Linked DNA regions of Caenorhabditis elegans. The protein of the gene in region 1 purifies or fractionates together with the protein of each later gene. This does not show direct contact. Each region holds a gene or a part of one and is shown on either strand. Other genes may lie near its edges.

What was found.
Region 2: the proteins of pwp-1 (region 1) and T16G1.6 fractionate together in Caenorhabditis elegans (co-fractionation; one large-scale study listed by BioGRID). This does not show direct contact.

What each region holds. Positions count from the first base shown.
Region 1 is NC_003282.8:13,232,442-13,238,530, reverse strand, and holds pwp-1 (WD_REPEATS_REGION domain-containing protein), read left to right. Parts: upstream 1-1,945; 5' UTR 1,946-1,950; coding exon 1,951-2,391; intron 2,392-3,418; coding exon 3,419-4,177; intron 4,178-5,191; coding exon 5,192-5,395; 3' UTR 5,396-5,511; downstream 5,512-6,089. Other genes in the region: tag-115 (SAC3/GANP/THP3 conserved domain-containing protein), read left to right, coding at 740-1,235; C48D1.5 (Glycoprotein), read right to left, coding at 5,557-5,742.
Region 2 is NC_003283.11:12,934,845-12,939,153, forward strand, and holds T16G1.6 (CHK kinase-like domain-containing protein), read right to left. Parts: upstream 2,331-4,309; 5' UTR 2,316-2,330; coding exon 2,160-2,315; intron 2,118-2,159; coding exon 1,725-2,117; intron 1,680-1,724; coding exon 1,430-1,679; intron 1,386-1,429; coding exon 1,282-1,385; intron 1,229-1,281; coding exon 1,067-1,228; intron 1,019-1,066; coding exon 944-1,018; intron 894-943; coding exon 738-893; 3' UTR 694-737; downstream 1-693. Other genes in the region: T16G1.7 (CHK kinase-like domain-containing protein), read right to left, coding at 13-174; T16G1.5 (CHK kinase-like domain-containing protein), read right to left, coding at 2,813-2,971, 3,017-3,091, 3,139-3,300, 3,349-3,452, 3,551-3,800, 3,845-4,243, 4,297-4,309.

The DNA.
Region 1 (6,089 bases):
GTTGGAAAGTTCAAGAAATGCCTCAATTAGTGCCTGAAAATCTCCTTTTCCAGGTTTTTTTTTATTTCGAAGTAAATTGAAATAAATCGAAAAAAACCTGAGAATGGCCGTTTCAGATACTTTGAAGTCTTTTTTTGAAATTTTCAACCAGAAAGTCGTATTTTCAGGTTGAACGAACATTTTTATTTCAATTTTTGATTAAAAACTAGATTATCAATCTGAAATTAACAGTTTTTCGCCTAAAACGCCAGAAAGAATTGAAAAAAACGGAATTATTTTTAATTCTCCATATTCGATTTGTAAAATATATTTTCGATTTTTTCGCAAAAATTGATGTAAAACTGCCGATTTTTAGACCAAATCTATAGTTTCAGTCAATTTTTTCGAGTGACCAAGTTTCACCAAAGCCTAAATCTTGGCCATCCAATAAAAATTGACCGAAGCTGTAGATTTGGCCTAAAAAATCGGTGATATCGGTGATTAAAATAAATTTTTAAGCGGAAAAAATGCCTGAAAAACCGAAAAAAAAAGTTTAGCATTCGAATTATTAGGGAAAAAAAATAAAGAAAAAATCATGAAATATAGCCGGAAAACGCAAAAATATCGAAACTAAGTCACTTATTTGAGCGGAAATTCAGAAATAATACTTTTCTATTTTCTAATTTAAGTTCTCTGTGATTTTTAGCAAAAAACCACAGAAACCTTTAAAATTCATAAAATAAAATATCTGATTTTTCAGGTGGTTTGAAGAAGTCTCGAATTCCACTGATATTATCCCGAATCCCTTGATATCGGCCTGCTTCTTCTTCAGACAATTACATCGAAAATCATCAATTCTTCATGATCTCTACCTATTTCGTCGGAAACTACCACACGAATCATTTAATCTCATTCAAAGCATAATATCATCATTTTATTCCTCAAATTATCGCCGATTTTTCGATATTTTCCAACAACTCGATCCACTTCTCAAGCACTCACTCTCGGATTGTGTCTCAATTCTTCGTCAATCAGCGATGAAAAATATATCCGTGGCATTCAAGACTCCTGTCGCTAGGCTTCCATCTCAATTGCTATCCGATTGGCTTGGATTTCCAGCGAATCTCGAATTTTTCGACGATTTTCTTCGTTTGTACAGTGTGATTCCTGATGAGCAAGGAAATATTCTGATTTCTGCTCTACGACCACCCGTGGAAATTTCGTATCAAGATTTTTCTTCGAGACAATATGAATAAATTTATTGTGATTTATTGGATTTTTAATATTTTTGAATTTTTTTGTTATAACGACGCTTCAAATGCGTATTTGATACTTGTCAATTAATTTTTTCTTTGGTTTTTCAGGAAAAATCGCTTTTTTAAAATTCAAAAGATAAAAAAATGACCGAAATTTATTGAAATTTAAGTTTTTTTGTTAAAAAAAAAGCTTTAAAAAAGCAAAAAATATTAAAATTGAGGTTTTTTTTTCTTTAGAAAAAGCGAAAAAAATATCAGTTTGAGATTTTTTTTTTCTATAAAAAGTGAAGAATATTAAAATTTAGATTTATTTTCCCAAAAAAAAAGCGAAAAATATTCGAATAAATATTTTTTACGAAAAAAGCGACAAATATTGAAATTGAGATTTATTTTTCCAAAAAATATTCAAATGAAGATTTTTTCCAAGAAAAAAAACCGAAAAATATTGAAATTAAGATTTTTTTCAAAAAAAAGCAGTCAAAACACATTTAAAAATGTTGAATAATTCTCAATTTGAATATTTTTCGCTCTTTTTTGGAAAAAAAATCCAAAAAAAAAACGAATAATATTCAAATTGAGTTTTATTTTTCCAAAAAAGCGAAAAAAAGTCGATTTCCCAACATTTTTTAAAGGAATTTTCTTCTTTATTTTCTCATTAAAAATCAGCATTTTTATTCATTTTTATCCGATGAAAACGCCCAAATTTCCAGAACTAATGGATGGTGTACTGATGGTATCGGATCTATCATGGATCCAACGTGGAGTTGCAAAAGAAATTCCAGACAAAATCAAGTTGGACGACGAAAAGCTAAAAGAGCTGATCGAAGGAGCAATTCCAGAATCAACTGATAATGAAACAGAGCTTGACGATGATGAAGAATCAGATAATGAGAAATTAAAAGGACTACGTGGAAGAGGAGATGTTGAAATGAAAGATGAAGAATCAGAATTTGAAAAGAAATATATGAAAGGATATAATGAGAATATCAAAGATGAACCAGAAGGACAAGATGGAATGAAAGGAATTGCAATGTATTCAACGAATAAAGATGATCCATATGTTACAGAACAGGTTGATTCTGATGAAGAAGAGGAAAAAGATGAGATTATGGTTCGAAAAGATGATAATATGGTCGCTGTTGCCAAAATTGATAAGGTTACTTTACTAGAATTTAAATAAATTAAAAAATTGATCTAAAATATTCAAAATGACAGAAAAAAGTTAAAAATCAGGTTGAAAATTTTTTGCACATCCATTTATCCAATTTTCGTATTTTTTTTTGGTTTTCATTTTGAGCTAAACCGAAAAAAATTCTGAAAAAAATTTTTCATCGATTTTTTACCTTTTTCCTTTTATATAAAATAAAATTTTTTTTATTAAATATATTTTACATCAACAAAATTATTTTTCAATTTTTAGATAACAAGAACATTTTTATTTATCAAAAAAAAAAAAACATACAAAATACTTACGAAACTGGGAAAAAAACTAAAAAAAAAACTATAAAAATTCCACTTTAAAGGCGCATTTTTTTCGCATTTATCGAAAATTTGTCGCGTCGAGACCGGATACCGTATTTTAAACGAAAAATCGATTTTTTTTTTGCGTTTTGATAATATTGAGCAAACTAAATTAAAAAAAAAAATAAATAAGAAACTGAAAAGTCAAATTTTCAAAAAAACAATAAAAACTTTCGAAAACTAGTTAAAATTTATAACAATTAGGTTAAAAAACCGAAGAAAAATGAAATTAAAAAATTTTTTTTAAGTGAAATTTTCAATAAATAGGAAAAAAATAAAAACTAAAAAAAATACAAAAAAGCACTATTTTCAATAGTAAAATTTTGAAAAAAAAAAACGAAAAAAGTTAAATTTAAAAAATAATGAAAATTTCAAAAAAACTATTGTAAGAAAAAAATTAAAATGCTTTAAAAAATCGAAAAAAAGAGAAAATTTTCAAAATTTCAAAAAAAAATCTCAAATTGTAATTTTCAAAAAAAAATGGAGGTTAAAAAAATTTAACCTAAAATGTTAAAAATTAATTTGTAAAAATTGTTTAAAAAACCGAAGAAAAATTAAATTTTCACAAAAAAATATTAAAAAAAGTGAAATTTTCAACAAAAACGAGAAAAAGAGTATAGAGAAAGTTTAAAAGCATAATTTCAAATTCCTAATTTTTCCAGGGTGACTTCACACTCGAGTGCTACGTATACAATGAAGCTGACAGTGATTGGTACTGTCATCATGACTATATTCTCGATGCTCCACCATTGTGCATTGAACCAGTTCAACATGATCCAGGAAACGAGGAAACAGGAAAAGGAAATCTACTGGCCGTCGGAACAATGAACTCGGAAATTCATATTTGGGATCTCGATATTATGAACACTGCAACCCCGTTTTTGACTCTGGGAAAAAAGGAACGAAAAGTGAAAGGAGCTGCACGAAAGAAGCGTGATAATAGTGCTCAAGGACATACTGATGCAGTTATTTCACTTGCTTGGAATCGAATTACAACTCATGTTCTTGCTAGTGGAGGTGCTGATAAAACAGTTGTCCTGTGGGATCTTGATGAAGCTAAACCGGCTCAAATCATTCCTGATCAGGGTGGAGAGATTCAGACAATGAAATGGCATCCAAATGAATCCACATTCTTATTGCTCGGAACTATGAAGGGACAAGTCAACGTTGTTGATTGTCGTGAATCTTCTGGAAATGCTTCAGCCGCGTGGAAATTCGATGGACAAATTGAAAAAGTGATCTGGAATCATTTTAATCCATTCACCGCGTTCTGCTCGTCTGATGATGGAAGACTTCGTCATTTGGATATGCGGAAACCTGGTGAATGCCTTTGGGAAGGTGTTGCTCATGATGGTCCGATTGGTGGACTTACTCTTTCTGCACTTACTAAAGGATTGCTGGTTACTGTTGGCGAAGATGAGGTACTAGAAATGCGCTCGAAATGGAGAAAAATTTAAAAAATTGAAAAAATTACTCCGAAAGACTCAAAATTACTAGAAAAAGCTAAATTTCCCTATGAAAAAAATTCCCAAGAAAAAAAAACGTTTTTAGAGCGGTTAATTTTTTTTCTGGAATAAAAAAAAATTTAAAAATTACTCTAAAGTACTCAAAATTGTACTTTAAAAAGTTAAATTTCTTAATGAAAAAATTTTCAAAATCCTTTTTTCTGCAAAAACATGATTTTTTTTCGTTTTTTTTTCAATCCCGAAATTTTTGGTCAAATCGGCAAAATTGGTTAAAAATTAGTGTTTTTGTGATTTTTGCGACAAAAATTACATTACCTATGGTCTCGGCAGTTTTTTTTGTTGAATTTAAAAAGGTGTGCGCCTTTAAAGATTACTGTAATTTCAAACTTTCGTTTCGTTGCGGAATTATTTTCAATCGATTATTTTCATAGTTTTTCTCACGATTTGTTAGAATTTATGTGTTTCTTTGAGTTAAAAAACAAACAAATTATAATTGAAAAAAAATTACAGTACTCTTTAAAGGCGAACACATTTTTAAATTCAACAAAAAACTGTCGTGTCGAGACCCGAAATCGTATTTTTCAAAAAAAATTGCATCCGGATAATATTTAGAGTTGAGAAATCCAATTTTGCCGATTTAATCAAACGAAAAAACGAAAAAAATCAAAATTAAAAATTCCAGAAGTATATATTTTTGCAAAAAAAAATCTAAAAAGTCGTATTTTTAAATGAAAAATAATGCAGGCGTCTAAAAACTTTCGTTTTTACCGCTTTTTTCTAAAAAAAATCCTCAAAAAATGAGAAAAATGACCAAAATTTGAGGCGATTTTTGGAAATTGGAAACAGCCAAAATTTTCGATTTTTCGAAATTATTATAAATCTGGACGAAAATTTAAAAAAGTTGTACAATAGTCACAATAACTCAAAAATGTTTCAAAAAAAAACCCCATCGAAATCAAAAATTTCCAGATGATGAATGTTTGGAAAGTTGAAGACACCAATGGAGGAATCGAAAAAGTTCATTCGGAGAAGCTGACCATCGGAGAGCTCCATTGTGCTCAATTCAATCCAGACGTGGCAGCAGTTCTTTCTGTTGGTGGAACTGCCGCCGATTTGATCCGTATCATCGATTTAACCAAATACGAACCGGTCGTCAAAGCATTCTCGGAATGAAATCTCTGAATTTTTGCCTTCTCTGTTTTCCAGTTTTTTTTTCGCCTGTTTTTGTTACGTTTGTTCCTGTTACACTTTACCAAGCTTTGTTGTTGTAATAAACTCTAATTTTGAGTACTCAAAAAAATTCAAAATTTATTATTTACATCCAAAAAAAAAGATTAAATATCAAAAATAATCGAATCTTCATCAATAAAAGGGATATTCGGATGAGAAAGGCTCAATTTGTCGGGAATTAAATTTGGAACATTTTCACGATTTTTGTGAATTCCAGTGTTTTTGCGGATCCGGATGCATGATAAGACCACGAGGAGAATAAGGAAAAAAGATATGATGATAAATCCAATCTGAAAATAAATTTTTTGAAAATACATTAGAATTTGCTGAAAACTTTGAAAAATTGAAAAATTCCTTTTTTCTATAATTTTTTCCGATTGAAACATAAAAAAGCCAGAATTTATTTTTTAAAAATTTTTTAAAAGAGAAATTGTCCATTTTTCAATAATTTTTGGGAAAAATCTTTTTTTGAGAAAATCAAATAATCAAACAAAAATTTCCAAAAAATTATCGGAAAAAATCGGAAAACTGTAAATTTACTACTTAGACGCGAAAATTTGCGATTTTTTGCGTTCTTGGTCTCGACGCGACAAATTTTTGGTTAACGCAAAACGTTGTGCGCCTTTTAAGAGTACTG
Region 2 (4,309 bases), on another chromosome or scaffold:
TGAATAACTTACATTTCCATCTCCGACGACAGTATACTTGGTATTCTTCCCAAGTCTTGCCTCGGTGTTCATCTGTTCTCCAATAACATCCTGAACATCATCCAATTGAACATGAGTCTGGAATAAACCATCTCCGTTGTCAAGAATCGTTGATTTCTTCTCAGCCTCTGTCATCGTTTCTTCACTCCAATCAAAACTGAATCTGAAAGCGACAAATGGCTGTCAACTTTATATTATAGAGCACGGTGTGGTCTCTGCCGCTTTCCTTATCGACACACAAAAAAATCACAGTGGGTTTTATGTCGCAATTGTGAGAGAATTAGTGGTAAAAAGAGGTCGTCTGTTATAGTTCAATCACGTGTGTTTATGTAGAGTTTAGTTTTCTAAAAATTTATACTAATCACCAGTTTTGTTGTCAAATTGTGTAGTTAAGAAGGGTATAAAGGATTAGTTTTCCTGAAATATACATTTTTCTCTACGGATGGATGACAAAAAAAAAATCAAAAAACCACAATACCCTGACACTGTACCACTTTATGATCCTCATCCTTCCTGTTCTCTGGCCAAACATTGTTATGAACCAAAAACTAGAACATCGAAAGATTATTACGTTTGAACAAAAAAGGAAGTTATTGTTTTTGCTACAATCCTCTGCGTGTTCGATTTTGTTTGAACTCACTAAATCAGGTATTTCTAGGTAAGCATTTATATCAATCTCATACATATTAAATCATAAATTAATTAGTCACAGAATCTTTTTCTTGGCGTCCTGTCAAATTTCTGCTGTAAAAATGCCAATGCTCCATATCTTCAAGAAGTTTTTCAGCTTTTTCAGTCAAGATTTCACGATATTCCTCGACATGTTCGGTATCCTTTGAGTATGATAGTTTTGTCTGAAAAATGATTCTTGTAAAAAACTTCAAGTTGTTTTTTTCAATTGTACCTGCGCAATTGGTCCGTACAGTGGCAACATTACAAGACTTCCGGTTACAAAGTACAAACGATAAGATTCTTTAAGCTGAAATCAAAAATATGTTAAGCGGCTATTAGTTAGGTTGATTCTTACCTGATCAAGAGTGTACGGAATCTCATTATCTTCAAGGGCTTCAAGGAAATATTCGTAGAATTGCTCAAGAAGCTTTTCCCAATGAGCTTGTCGATCTGCTCCGGAGAGTGTACAGAGGAAAACTCGAACCAAGTCCTCAGCTGGGTTTCCCATGTGAATAATCTGATGATAATATTTTTCTAGTTGACTTTCTTCGAAATATCTCAAAGTCTCACCTGATAATCAATAACCTTGCTTGCGGAAAACTTTCCATCGTTTTCATTCCATAAAATATTGGCTGCCCAAAGATCACCATGTACCAAAACATCCTTATGAATTCCTAAGTAAAGTTTACCATCAGAATATCATTCTCATTTTACCCACCGACGACTTTATTTAGGTTACCAGCAAATTCAAAATTGACAACTTCCATTCCAAACGCTTCAACAATGTCGGTTTTCTCTTTGAGACGTTCCGGATTAATATCTCTTGTTTGTTTATAATTCCCTTTTAGACCATCGTCGTTGAACATCGTACCCATCATTTGTTTGAAATCAAATCCAGAAATACTTTGAAGTTCCTCATCACTCAAGTGAAGGCTCTCGGCTTGGAGTTGTGCAACTGCCTTTAGAACCTTAGAATAAAACAAAAGATACAGTTTAGATAATTGAAAACTCACTGGATGCAACTCATACGGCTTTAAATTACAGTACAGATGTCTGATCGTCACATCATCGACATATTCCATTCCCAAAAATCCTTTGAGCTTGTTCTCAGAATCAAACTTCTTCGAGAAAAATATTTTCGCGTTGAGAAGCTCCTCCGGCTTATTCCACTTCTCAGCTAGCACGTAAAAGTTAACTTCTCGATTATGAAGATGTTGAGCCTCATTTTCAAACATTGCCCACAACTCTTCTTCATTTTCATTTATGCTCTGGTTAGACTCTTTCATTTTATCAACAATTCCATGTACATGTAAGGATGAGCAGATTTTCAAAATAAATTTCTTTGGGAGATGATTTTCCGTAATGGTCCATTCCGGTTCGACAAGAACTACTCGACTCATGAATCCCTGAAATCTCAGTGTTTATATCATTCAAAAATTTAGACTTACATTTCCGTCTCCAACAACAGTATATTTGGTATTTTCTCCGAGTCTTGACTCAGTGTTCATCTGTTCTCCAATAGCTTCTTGAACATCTTTCACATAAACGTGTGTTTGAAATAAACCTTCTCCATTATCGAGAATCGTTAATTTTTCTGCAGTCATTTCTTAACGACGAGAGTAAAAAGAGTATGGTTCTTTAAATCAAATGATTAGCATTTTATATCGATGAACCTCCTGTGGTTTCTGTCTGAAATTCTTCTTATCGTGAATGAACACAGTGTAGATTTTATGCACATGAAACAATAATTCCAAAGCACAAATGATATCAGACAAATCAAGCTCGGAAATTTTGTGTCAGGAGGTCAATTGTTTCGTATTTTATAGTTAAAACCAGCCACCGACATAACATCTTGCGTATGTCTTATAACTTGCATTTCAAAAGAACGTTTTTGTGATTTCTTGACAAATTATTGTATTATTTATCAAATTTGAGGTTTGTTCCATATCAATGAATTTTCGCATCAAAAAAGCTGCAGTGTTTGATTTTTAATTTTCTCTAAGCCGTGGTTTAAAAATTAAAGTCAATGAGTTACTTTATTAAGAAGTTGCTTCACAATTCAAAAGTTTCGAGAAATTTCATAATTTTATCGGTATTCTTATCATAAAGTCAACTTTTCCGCCGTTTCTAAATCCTTTGTCACATCTTTACTGTACAAGTGCCATCGCTTTAAGTCTTCCATGAGACGTTCAGCTTTTTCAGTGAGAACCTCACGATACTCCTCCACGTTCTCATTATCAGTCGAATACGAAAGTTTAGCCTGTAATTAATTAACTATTAGAGAATACTTGTACGTATTGACTACCTGAGCAACAGGGCCAAACAGTGGCATCACAAAAAGACCACCACCAACAAAATATAACCGATATGACTCTTTTAACTGGAAGTAAATTAATCAGTATTGATAAAGGAAACTAGTATTATTACCTGATCGAGTGTGTAAGGAGCCTCATTACCTTCAAGCGCCTCCAAGAAATACTCGTAGAATTGTTCTAAAAGTTTCTCCCAGTGAGCCTGTCTGTCAGCACCAGAGAGCGTGGAAAGAAACACACGAACAAGATCTTCTGCTGGATTTCCCATGTGGATGAGCTAAAACGATTATAAAAAAATGTTTTTCATAATTTATTAATTTATTACCTGATAATCAATAACTTTGCTGGCTACACAGTTTCCATCATTCTCTTTCCACAAAATATTGGCTGCCCATAAATCTCCATGAACCAGAACATTTTTTTGAATGCCTAAAATTTCCAAATTATATTTACAAACAAGGAAATAATTGTTTAATTATTTAAGTTATGATTTGATTGATTCTCATAAATTAAAAACCAGAACTCACCAGCGTACTTGTTCACATGACATGAAATCTCAAAGTTGACGATATCCATTCCTAATGCTTCGACTGCATCTGTAGGTTTTGTCAGACGTTCCGGATTAATTTGACGTGCTCGAGTGTACATTTGCTTCATTCCTTCTTCACTCATCATTCTTCCAACCATTGATTTAAAATCATATCCAGAAATACTATTGATTTCATCTTCCGTTAAATGAAGACTTCCCGCTTGAAGTGTTGCCAATGATTGTAAAATCTGAATGCTGTGCTTAATTTATGGTTTAAATCATTCAAACTAACTGGATGCAACTCGTGTGGTTTTGCATTACAATAGAGATGCCTAACAACAGCATCATCCACATACTCCATTCCCAAAACTCCCTGAGTCTTGTTTTCACAGTCGAATTTCTTGTAGAAATAAATCTTTGGACTCAACAGCGCGTCATTCTTGTTCCATTTCTCAGTTATCCTATAGAGATTGACTTCTCGATTGTGCACATTCTGAGCTTCTCTTTCGAACATGGCCCATAATTCAGCTTCTTGTTGTTCAGTGAATGCATCTGGGTTTTTCTCTTTCATCTGTGAAACAAGGTGGTGAACATTGATACAAGATGTCAGTTTTAATATGATTTTTTCTGGAAGGTTCTCGTTAGGAATAGTCCAATCTGCTTCCACAAGTACCACACGACTCATGAATCCCTAAAATTAAATATTTAGCAAAAGAAGAACAGCTACAACAAATAAGAACATACATTTCCATCTCCC